Linked DNA regions of Arabidopsis thaliana. The protein of the gene in region 1 interacts with the protein of each later gene in a pairwise test. Each region holds a gene or a part of one and is shown in the gene's direction. Other genes may lie near its edges.

Region 1 (4,880 bases):
TTTCTTTTGTCAATTAAATATATATATATATATATATTATATTTTATTTTATTTTCTCAAAATGACTGTTAGATGTTTTCTCTGTATAATTGTATTGTTTGATTCAGAAACACTTAAAAGTATATATTATTTGTATAATTTTAATTTTTGTTATTAACTACAAAGTAAAACAGTTGGTAAAAAGGTTAGTGAGTAATTCAAACTGTGAAAAAGAAAGTCGATTTACTTGTAGAATTACAAAGTAATTGAACTTTTTTTTAATGTTTCTTATCTATTGTCAATATATCTATAAAAATACTACTGCCAGACTAAAATAATACATTTTGTAGTAAATGGGCAAGATCGTTACAGAGACAGACAGACAGCTATCTCATCAAAGCTTTGTCTCCTTTCCCATTACCCAATTTTAAAAATATTTTGCAGCGTGTGAATATCCTTTGTACACCACATACTCTTTTCACATATATAATATTAAATTACACTAAAATTTGTGTACAACTATTACCTATATGTATATATATGTCAGCATGCAGCAGCTAACGAAGCAAAAAACATGTATTAATCCGACTGTCTATATATGTAAGTAACTTGCGTTTAGAAAAAGAAAAATATGTATTAGGGACTTGCATTGCGTTTCTTAATCAGAATGTAATAAGTTAATAACAATGCTGAAACACATTGACACTAATTTTAAAAAATCTTTTCGGTTAGAGCAAATCAATTTGCATGGCCAACTACTGGACCGACTACTATTGCAACTTTTTTTTGTTTTGTATAGTATTTCGTTGCGTGTATCTGCAATATATATCACCCATGACCCATGTCTATATTTATTGTATTTAAACGAAGGTTGGTCCAGTGTATTAATACTGATTGATTATGACATTTTAATTGAAAATATCCCAAATATCAACTCTACTGTAGTCCGTAGAGAGACCTGAATCTCTAATTTACTGTTTTTTAACCATGCCATCAACCAATCCAATAAGAAAAACAGGAACAAAATACAAGTGAAAACGAAGTAGCAATTGCATAATTTGGGACTCCAGAAGTTTTTTTATTAATCCTATAGAATCAAATTTTTTTCGGAATCAAATTTTAACTTTAACTATTGTATCATTACGCTAACTATGAGAACATCTTATATTATTATATGATTTTTCAACTGTTAAATTTAAAAGTTGATCATTTTGTTAGTATATGTTTCAAAAAATTTAATTTTCAAAATTATGTCGTAGTATATGAAAAAGCAACGAGTGTTTTATATGATAAAGTAGAAACTAATGATTTTGAACTAATTTAATGAATCTTTAAAATCTATGCCGGCTCCTAAGTAGCCGAGCTGAAAACCCATGGCATTGTCATGATTCACGTCCTGGACCAAAGTCTCATGAGTAAACCGGTGTCTAACTCTAACCATTGTAAGCTATTTTGCATTTAATTACAAAGTTTAAAAAATCCCCCGAAATTCCTGAAATAACTCAAGATATCTCCAACACTTCCTCTAGGGTTATCCTGTCGTCTTATTTAAAACCCGGAGTTGGGGTGAGAAGCCATCTCTCTCCCTCTCTATCTCTCTCCCTCTCTATCTCTCTCTTACCAATTTCCATTTCTCGGGGGAAAATAATAATACGACTTTTGAAATCTCTCACTAATATTTCCCAAGAAAACCTGATGAATTAAAAGTTCATATTTTCTTGGTGTTGATTGGTATTAGATGACTATTTCTTAGTATTAGTCAATTCTCTGTTTCCATCTTATATGGATAGTCTAGACACAGAGCAAAGATCCTTCTTTGGAGAAAAAGAAGATGAGAGACGAGAGAGGATCGTTTCTTCACGTATTGGTCGTAGATAGATCTTAATCGATAACCATCTAGGCCTTGATCTAACCATTCAATATAAACTTTATTTCCTTCTTCTTTTCGATCTCAATTGTTCCGACCAAACAAGATGAAGAGATCACGTGGAAGCTCCGATTCTTTATCCGGTTTCTTACCAATTCGCCATTCTACAACAGGTAAAATAAGACTCTTGTAATATAAACTCTTATACAATTCTGAAACTGCAATTATGTTTGTTGATGATCATTAGAAAGATACTAATGAATTTTTTTATTATATGATTGTGTTTTATTAATTAACATTTTAAGTAAATATATGTTTTCTGACAATTCATACTATCGAGACGTTATCCTGACAAGGTTTTGTGATTACTCATGACATCATAAATATTCCATTATTTGATTGAAACTATCCGTTTTATGAGATTGGTTAGATATATAGTAGTACTATTTTTAATGTACTACCTTGATTAATGATTTTAACAGACAAACAAATAAGCCCAAGACCAACAACTACCGGCTTTCTCTATTCCGGCGCCGGAGACTACTCCCAGATGTTTGACGCATTAGAAGACGACGGAAGTCTAGAGGACCTCGGCGGCGTTGGACACGCGTCTTCTACGGCGGCGGAGAAAAAACGGCGGTTGGGTGTAGAGCAAGTGAAAGCGTTAGAGAAGAATTTCGAGATTGATAACAAGTTAGAGCCAGAGAGGAAAGTGAAGCTGGCTCAAGAGCTTGGGTTGCAGCCACGCCAAGTCGCGATCTGGTTTCAAAACCGCCGTGCTCGGTGGAAGACAAAGCAGCTTGAACGTGATTACGGCGTTCTTAAGTCAAACTTTGATGCACTCAAACGCAACCGCGACTCGCTTCAACGCGATAACGATTCACTCCTTGGACAGGTATAGTCTTTGTGACTTTTTTTTTTGTCAATAAATTTAAACGTCTAGGCACACCCAAACAACCATCTTAGCCATTATTGTAACTAAATCCATCAATGATTCGGTCAATCAAATAAACGAACGTATAGAACATTAATAACATCGTTTCAATTTGTTTATTTTGAAATTACAATTTGAATTCTGACCGTTAGACTAAAGTTTTGATCGTCTGTGTTTGAATTGCCTTTAATTACGTTGATTTTTCTTTAGTGTATAAAAAAGTCACAAACTTATGCATTTTAAGCTAATATCATTTGTTAAAAATATCATTTTAAGCTAATTACAAATGATAAACCAAACACAAACAGATTTTTTTTTTGAATTTTGTGATTAATATACTAAAAGTTTCATGTTTATTAATTTATTATATAATTTGGGATAATAATAGCTAAATTTAAACAAATTCAGAGATAATCCTTTTGTTTGGTAGATTATAAAGAGTATTGATATTTATAAAACATGACATTTATGCAGATTAAAGAGCTGAAAGCAAAACTTAACGTGGAAGGGGTTAAAGGTATAGAAGAGAACGGCGCTTTAAAAGCAGTGGAAGCAAATCAATCGGTGATGGCTAATAATGAAGTCTTAGAGCTAAGCCACCGTTCTCCATCGCCACCACCGCATATTCCTACGGACGCTCCGACATCGGAGCTCGCATTCGAAATGTTTAGCATTTTTCCACGCACGGAAAACTTCAGAGACGATCCTGCCGATAGCAGCGACTCAAGCGCGGTTTTGAACGAAGAGTATAGTCCCAATACGGTTGAAGCAGCTGGCGCAGTGGCGGCCACGACTGTAGAAATGTCGACGATGGGTTGTTTTAGCCAATTCGTGAAAATGGAAGAGCATGAAGATCTGTTTAGTGGAGAGGAAGCTTGCAAGTTGTTTGCGGACAATGAGCAATGGTATTGCTCCGATCAGTGGAATTCGTAAAATGTGGGGGCAGAATTAAAAGCATAGAAAAGCTGAAGGGGGTATGTGGAAATATTACTGAAGTCATATTGGGTCGGAAAATGCATTACTCAAAATATTGGGGTTTTTCTTGAGAAAATGGAATATGACGCGAGAGGGTAGTAAAAACGAGCGTGTGGTGTTCCATGCACGTGTGGCCGTAATCTTTTCAAGGTTGAATGAGAGAGGACAAAAAAGTCTGAAATCATCGGGAATAAAAAAAATATGTGACGAAGAAATCGTTTTTTCGTCGTTTATAATATTATTTGAATAATTTTACTTAGGTGAATGTAATCGTCAAAAATCTTTAAATTCCGAAGGGTTAAAGATTCTGAGCACGACTAACTATCTATCCTCTTTTATTGTTCTCGTCGTCCATTGACGACTATGCACAATTCATAAGATTATTCCCTATGTACAATGTGTCTTTTTAGAGAAACCTATCTGAATTTTGAAAATGTTATATAATTTAATTTTGGCATTGATCTGTTTCAAAGTCGACATGATACGATCGATGCTAATAAGAACTGTTTATTTCGAGATTGAGAGTGGTCCAAATTTGAGATGTCGGATTTGATAAGATGCATTACCAAATAATGCTTTTAACCAAAAAAAATCCTCAAATATAATCAACAATTGTTTTGAATCGGTCAAATCTTCTTGTTGGTTTCTTTAAAATTGGATCTTCAATTGGTTCATTTAGATAGGTCTAAGTTGTATGTTTAGTTTTAGCATCTGTCTTACCAACTTTTATGATAATCGATTATTATTGATTTATGTGGTGATAAGTTTTGAGCTACAACACTGTAAAGTCTGTAATTAGGATAAAATGTCATATCGCATTTTTTGTAAATGGATTAATAACATACAAATCATAGCATGATAAAAAAAAAAAAAACATAAAACCATTCAACGTATGCATAATTTCTCTTTTTCGTTATCTTTTGAAAATTTCTCAGTAAGGACATGGAGATAAAACATGAAAAGCCGAGCCACATAATTGGATCTCCCTAAATATCCGTGTTTGTTTCTAGCCGTTCCTTTTTCTCCTTTTGTTACTTGCTTTTCATAACCTAAAATCTTGTTTTTTATTTGCCTTTTTGCTGCAAGGAAGAAGCACGATTACTATTTGTTTATTCAAATATAAAT
Region 2 (5,284 bases), on another chromosome or scaffold:
AATTCTATTTAATACTTAAGTTATCTAAAAATTAAGATTAATTAAATTAAAATATTATATTTAAGACCTAATTTATCTAAGAATTAACTTAAAAAACATTAGATTTGGCTCTTATATAAGAGCTATTCTTAACCATTAATTGAATTATAACATTAAATTTAAGATCTACTTTATCTAAAAACTAACCTAAAAAACTATCAATAATGATGGTCTTACGAATGCCTAGATTCTCTTCAATATACAAAAAGTACGGTTTAGTTATTGTTTGGACATTTGAAATCTAACTAATTCTCTTTTTAGTCTTAATGCAATGGAATTGCAAATACTCCATAAACCATAGTGTTGCACCCTAACCGTATCTCTCTCTAAAAGAGAATCTAGTCAACAAGATTATGTTTAATCTCTAATTAATGACAATAAGATTTACTGCCAAAATAAATAAATAAATAATAATAATAAGATTTACTGCCATTTATTCTTCTATATTTTTCAATTTTTTATTTACACTTGTTCCATAATCGTCCCAAGGAGTAGACTAGGGTTGATGCTCTTTCATCTATAAAACGACTTAACACAACATGTTCTTTCACATCATCATCATAAGCCTCAACAATCCATCACCATACATATTAGATTCTCCCTCTTTCCATAGTTTATTTTTGGTTCGTTTTATTGTAAAAAGATATCAAACTCTTTTTGGGGGACATTCGTTCTTCAAGTGTAACAGAAGGAGCTCCCTTCCTCCAAAACGAAGAGGACAAGATTTGAGGAACTAAAATGCAGAATCTAAGAGTTCATGTCTTCCTCATAGAGAGTGCGCGGTGTTAAAAGCTTGAAGAAAGCACACTTTAAGGGGATTGCACGACCTCTTAGATTCTCCCTCTTTCTCTACATATCATTCTCTTCTCTTCGTTTGGATTGAAGGGAGCTCCTTTTCTTCTTCTCTTAATTAGTCTCTGTTCTTCAAAACTTGGTTTCGATCTAACTTGTTTTCTTTTTCTCTAGTGCATTTTTTTTTTCAGGTTGTCATGTTTATTTGCAGGTGTTTGTGGTTGATGCTTGCATGGAAGCAATATTAATGTTGTTTATTTACGAGAAGACGTTCGTGTGCCAATTTGAAAATATGATATTAATGGAAATACAGATTAAAACTGACAAATGTATAAATATTTCTTGTTCCTTGTTTTAATTTTAACATTAGTCGTGTGTTTGTCGTAAATACGAAGGGGACATTTCACCTAAAAAAAGAAAAAAATATATTCATCAAAACTGGTCTTGGATACGTTTTTAGTTAAAACAAGAACAATAATAAAGTTAGGTTTAACTTCGATCAGATCGAAACAAGTACACTATAATTGTTTTGGTTTGAGAAAATATACCATCGATGGTTTCAAGAAATAATAGCAGCTGGGTTGCTTGTAGTCGATACGTTAAGTCGTATCATCTCAAATGATCCCTAGTAGTACACAACATAGTCAACTGGTTTGTCATGTGTTGGCCTACGAAGAAATGTATACCGGCCGGATTTCAATTTATAAATTAGTCCTTTTTTTTTTGTCAAGTTATCATTGCATAGCCAAGTTTCACTCGGTCAAAATCTAATTAACAAAGTCTGTAAAACGTTGAAGTAATTGTATTTTATTAAAAGAAAACTCCAAATTAGACTTTGATTCCAACGAATATTTAACGACATAAAAGGCATTGCCGTTTGTTGAACGAGTTGTCTTCTTACCAAATTTGACGCTTTCCAACTAAATACACTCCTAATTTTGCCTATTACCTTTTTCCTCCTCTAATTAAGTAAATGCTAAATTTCCCCCAAATACTAAAAATCGAATCCGATAAGTCAAAATCAAAATCGTACCTACGCGATTTATGCAAAATACCGGAAAAAGAACCAAAGTGCTTATTACAATCAAAAGACCAAACCGGTTAAACAATTAGTTAGGCTGGCATTAACGAACCTCTTTGTCTTTAATTAGCCTTTATCCGTCACCGCCCTGTTACCATAACCGTTCAACGTCGACCCGCTCTTTGTTTCAGAAAAAAAAAACAGAGAAAGACTTTTTTAGTGTTTCTTTGTCATTTTCGTTCCTCAAAAAAACCTTTTCGAATTTGACCCTTATTGTTATCCTGATTCTTCTGCTCGGTTCTCGCCGGAGAGAAGACACGGAGAAGAGGGTTTTCGAAAAGGAGGATGAGAGGTTCCAATAACACCGATCTATTTGACCCTAAGACGGAGATGGATTCCAATTTCTCTCGCCATGGTTCTTCCTCCGAAGGTGATTTTGGTTTCGCTTTCAATGACAGTAACTTCTCCGATCGTTTGCTCCGGATCGAGATCTTGGGTGGGCCTTCGGATTCTAGGTCTGATGCTGAAGGATGTACGAGTATTGCCGATTGGGCTCGTCATCGCAAGAGGAGAAGAGAGGACAACAAGAAGGACAATGGTGGTACGTTTGATTCCCTATCGGTTGGAATCTCAGATTTTGTTGTTGTTTTTATGAATTGTTCTTATGGTTGGTTTAGGGCTTTTGGGTTTAAATGTTTAAGAAACTTATACGTTTTGCATTTCCAGTTGCGATTTCAGACATTGTGGCATGTGCTGAAGAACAGATTTTAACCGATAACAACCAACCTGATATGGATGATGCTCCTGGTGGTGATAATCTTGACGATGAAGGAGAGGCAATGGTTGAAGAGGCTTTATCAGGTACCGTTCTAAATTTCACATTGTCTCTCGAGTGACTGGGTTTGAATTTGTGATACTTAACAATTTTCAGAAGAGCGTTTTTTGTTGAAGTCATTTGTCTGAAACGTGATGGCTTTGTTTATTAATGGTTTTTGTAGGTGATGATGATGCATCTAGTGAGCCAAACTGGGGTATTGATTGTTCTACTGTTGTTAGAGTTAAAGAACTGCATATTAGTTCTCCTATCTTGGCCGCAAAAAGCCCCTTTTTCTACAAGGTATTAACCTTTTTTCTTCTTCTATGTTCTTATTGTTTGCTCTTGTTCATCTCGCATGTAATGCTATCTTTTGCTTCTTGTTTTCCTTACCCTGTTGTAGCTGTTTTCTAATGGAATGAGGGAATCAGAACAAAGACATGTAACCCTTAGAATTAGTGCACAAGGTACGACAATTTAAGTCAAGCTTTTAATTCATTTCTGCTATTCTCCAATCTCTTTATATTGGCTTCAATTCTCTACTAGCTCTCTGTTGGCTTCTTCTTGTTTTGGATTCTTTATGCCTCTTGTATTAACTCAGTTGCTGACTTTGATTTACATATGATATACGATATTAGCTTTAAGGGAGTCCACATTGTTGATTTCTCATGCTCTACTTTTATGTGTATTGTAGAGGAAGGTGCTTTGATGGAGCTTTTAAACTTTATGTATAGCAACTCTCTAAGTGTCACAACAGCACCCGCTTTATTAGATGTTCTTATGGCTGCTGACAAGTTTGAGGTTGCTTCCTGTATGAGGTATTGTAGTAGACTACTGCGAAATATGCCCATGACCCCTGATTCTGCTTTGCTCTATCTTGAGCTGCCCTCTAGTGTTTTAATGGCTGAAGCAGTGCAACCTCTAACCGATGCAGCAAAGCAGTTCCTTGCCTCGCGCTACAAGGATATTACCAAGTAAGACTCTCCAGTGGTTTGAAATGCATTTACTCTAGTGTTGTATAATTCTTGTTCATGTGTTACCATCTTGTACAGGTTTCATGATGAGGTTATGGCCTTACCATTGGCTGGAATAGAGGCGATACTATCGAGCGATGATCTCCAAATTGCTTCTGAGGATGCTGTTTATGATTTTGTCTTGAAATGGGCAAGGGGACAGTATAGTTCATTGGAAGATCGTAGAGAGATTCTGGGTTCACGCCTTGCACTCTACATCCGCTTCCCATACATGACGTGTCGAAAGCTGAAAAAGGTACTAACGTGCAGTGATTTTGAGCATGAAGTAGCATCAAAGCAAGTATTAGAAGCGCTCTTCTTCAAAGCAGAAGCCCCACACAGGCAACGCATCCTCGCAGCTGAAGGATCGGACTCCATGAACCGCCGTTTCATAGAGAGGGCTTACAAATACAGACCCGTAAAAGTGGTGGAGTTTGAGCTTCCTCGCCCGCAATGTGTAGTGTACCTGGACTTGAAGCGAGAGGAATGCGCAGGACTATTCCCTTCAGGAAGAGTCTATTCTCAGGCTTTCCACTTAGGAGGTCAAGGTTTCTTCCTCTCAGCACACTGCAACATGGACCAGCAAAGCTCGTTCCACTGCTTTGGGCTATTCCTCGGAATGCAAGAGAAAGGGGCTGTGAGTTTTGGTGTGGACTACGAATTTGCGGCAAGAGATAAAAGTACAAAGGAAGAATACGTAAGCAAATACAAAGGAAACTACACATTCACAGGGGGGAAAGCGGTTGGTTACAGAAACCTTTTCGGGATTCCATGGACTTCGTTCATAGCCGAGGACAGTCAACATTTCATCAATGGCATTCTCCATCTCAGAGCCGAGCTCACCATTAAACGTTCCTCAGACCTGCACTGACTGTTTTCTTCTCTCTCTCTCTCTATGTCGTCACATTTAAGTTGTATAATCTCGTTATGTAGCAGCTCTAACCACGAGTGTCCTTTGTACAATAATTGCCTAAGGAGCAAAAGTATGGCTTAAAGAGTACCTCATTCTGTAAATTCTTTGATTGGATTTTTTTACTTTTCTATATGGGTCTTTATAAATAGTCCAAGATAGAATTTGGGCCTAGCTTTTGAGGTTAGTCTTAAAATATGGGCTCAAGGCCTACTACGATGCGTAATGATGAAGCTAAATTGCCTATAGTGTGAACATTAGGCTTTTATATTCAAAGTTCAAACAATGCGGCTATAGCAATGGTACATCGAGGAAATAGAATGAAGTGACAAGGATAATTTAGGAAATGAGGATAGAGGAATTGAGTCCTCGTCACATGGGGCCCACATAAATGCGTAAGTAAGACTATCCGCTTACCAGACGGACACGTCATTTTGTCGGGACACGTTTGAGCCGTTGGATGATTAATCTCCTTTTCTGACTTATCGACCCCACTTTTTTTTTCCACTACAAAATATTGATGGCCACGTCAGATGATTCGAAGTTATATAAAACACACGTTTTTATTGCAGCTTAACCGTCGATTTTTTTCTAATCGAGAAACCGAGATCAACGGTCTATATTCAAAGCTGATGTGGTCTGTACCTTTGCTTACGTCACCGAAAACCTAAGTTGAATAATACTAGTACTAGTAT

What was found.
Region 2: the proteins of HB5 (region 1) and LRB1 interact in a two-hybrid assay, tested with the Arabidopsis thaliana proteins (one study listed by BioGRID).

Annotation. Positions count from the first base shown.
Region 1 is NC_003076.8:26,101,290-26,106,169, reverse strand, and holds HB5 (homeobox protein 5), read left to right. Parts: upstream 1-1,555; 5' UTR 1,556-1,952; coding exon 1,953-2,019; exon of another isoform or gene 2,020-2,315; coding exon of another isoform or gene 2,316-2,328; coding exon 2,329-2,741; intron 2,742-3,254; coding exon 3,255-3,713; 3' UTR 3,714-4,352; downstream 4,353-4,880. UniProt on the Arabidopsis thaliana protein: Probable transcription factor that acts as a positive regulator of ABA-responsiveness, mediating the inhibitory effect of ABA on growth during seedling establishment. Binds to the DNA sequence 5'-CAATNATTG-3'.
Region 2 is NC_003071.7:18,993,914-18,999,197, forward strand, and holds LRB1 (BTB/POZ/Kelch-associated protein), read left to right. Parts: upstream 1-1,731; 5' UTR 1,732-2,197; coding exon 2,198-2,453; intron 2,454-2,578; coding exon 2,579-2,713; intron 2,714-2,850; coding exon 2,851-2,969; intron 2,970-3,069; coding exon 3,070-3,133; intron 3,134-3,360; coding exon 3,361-3,640; intron 3,641-3,718; coding exon 3,719-4,550; 3' UTR 4,551-4,759; downstream 4,760-5,284. UniProt on the Arabidopsis thaliana protein: May act as a substrate-specific adapter of an E3 ubiquitin-protein ligase complex (CUL3-RBX1-BTB) which mediates the ubiquitination and subsequent proteasomal degradation of target proteins.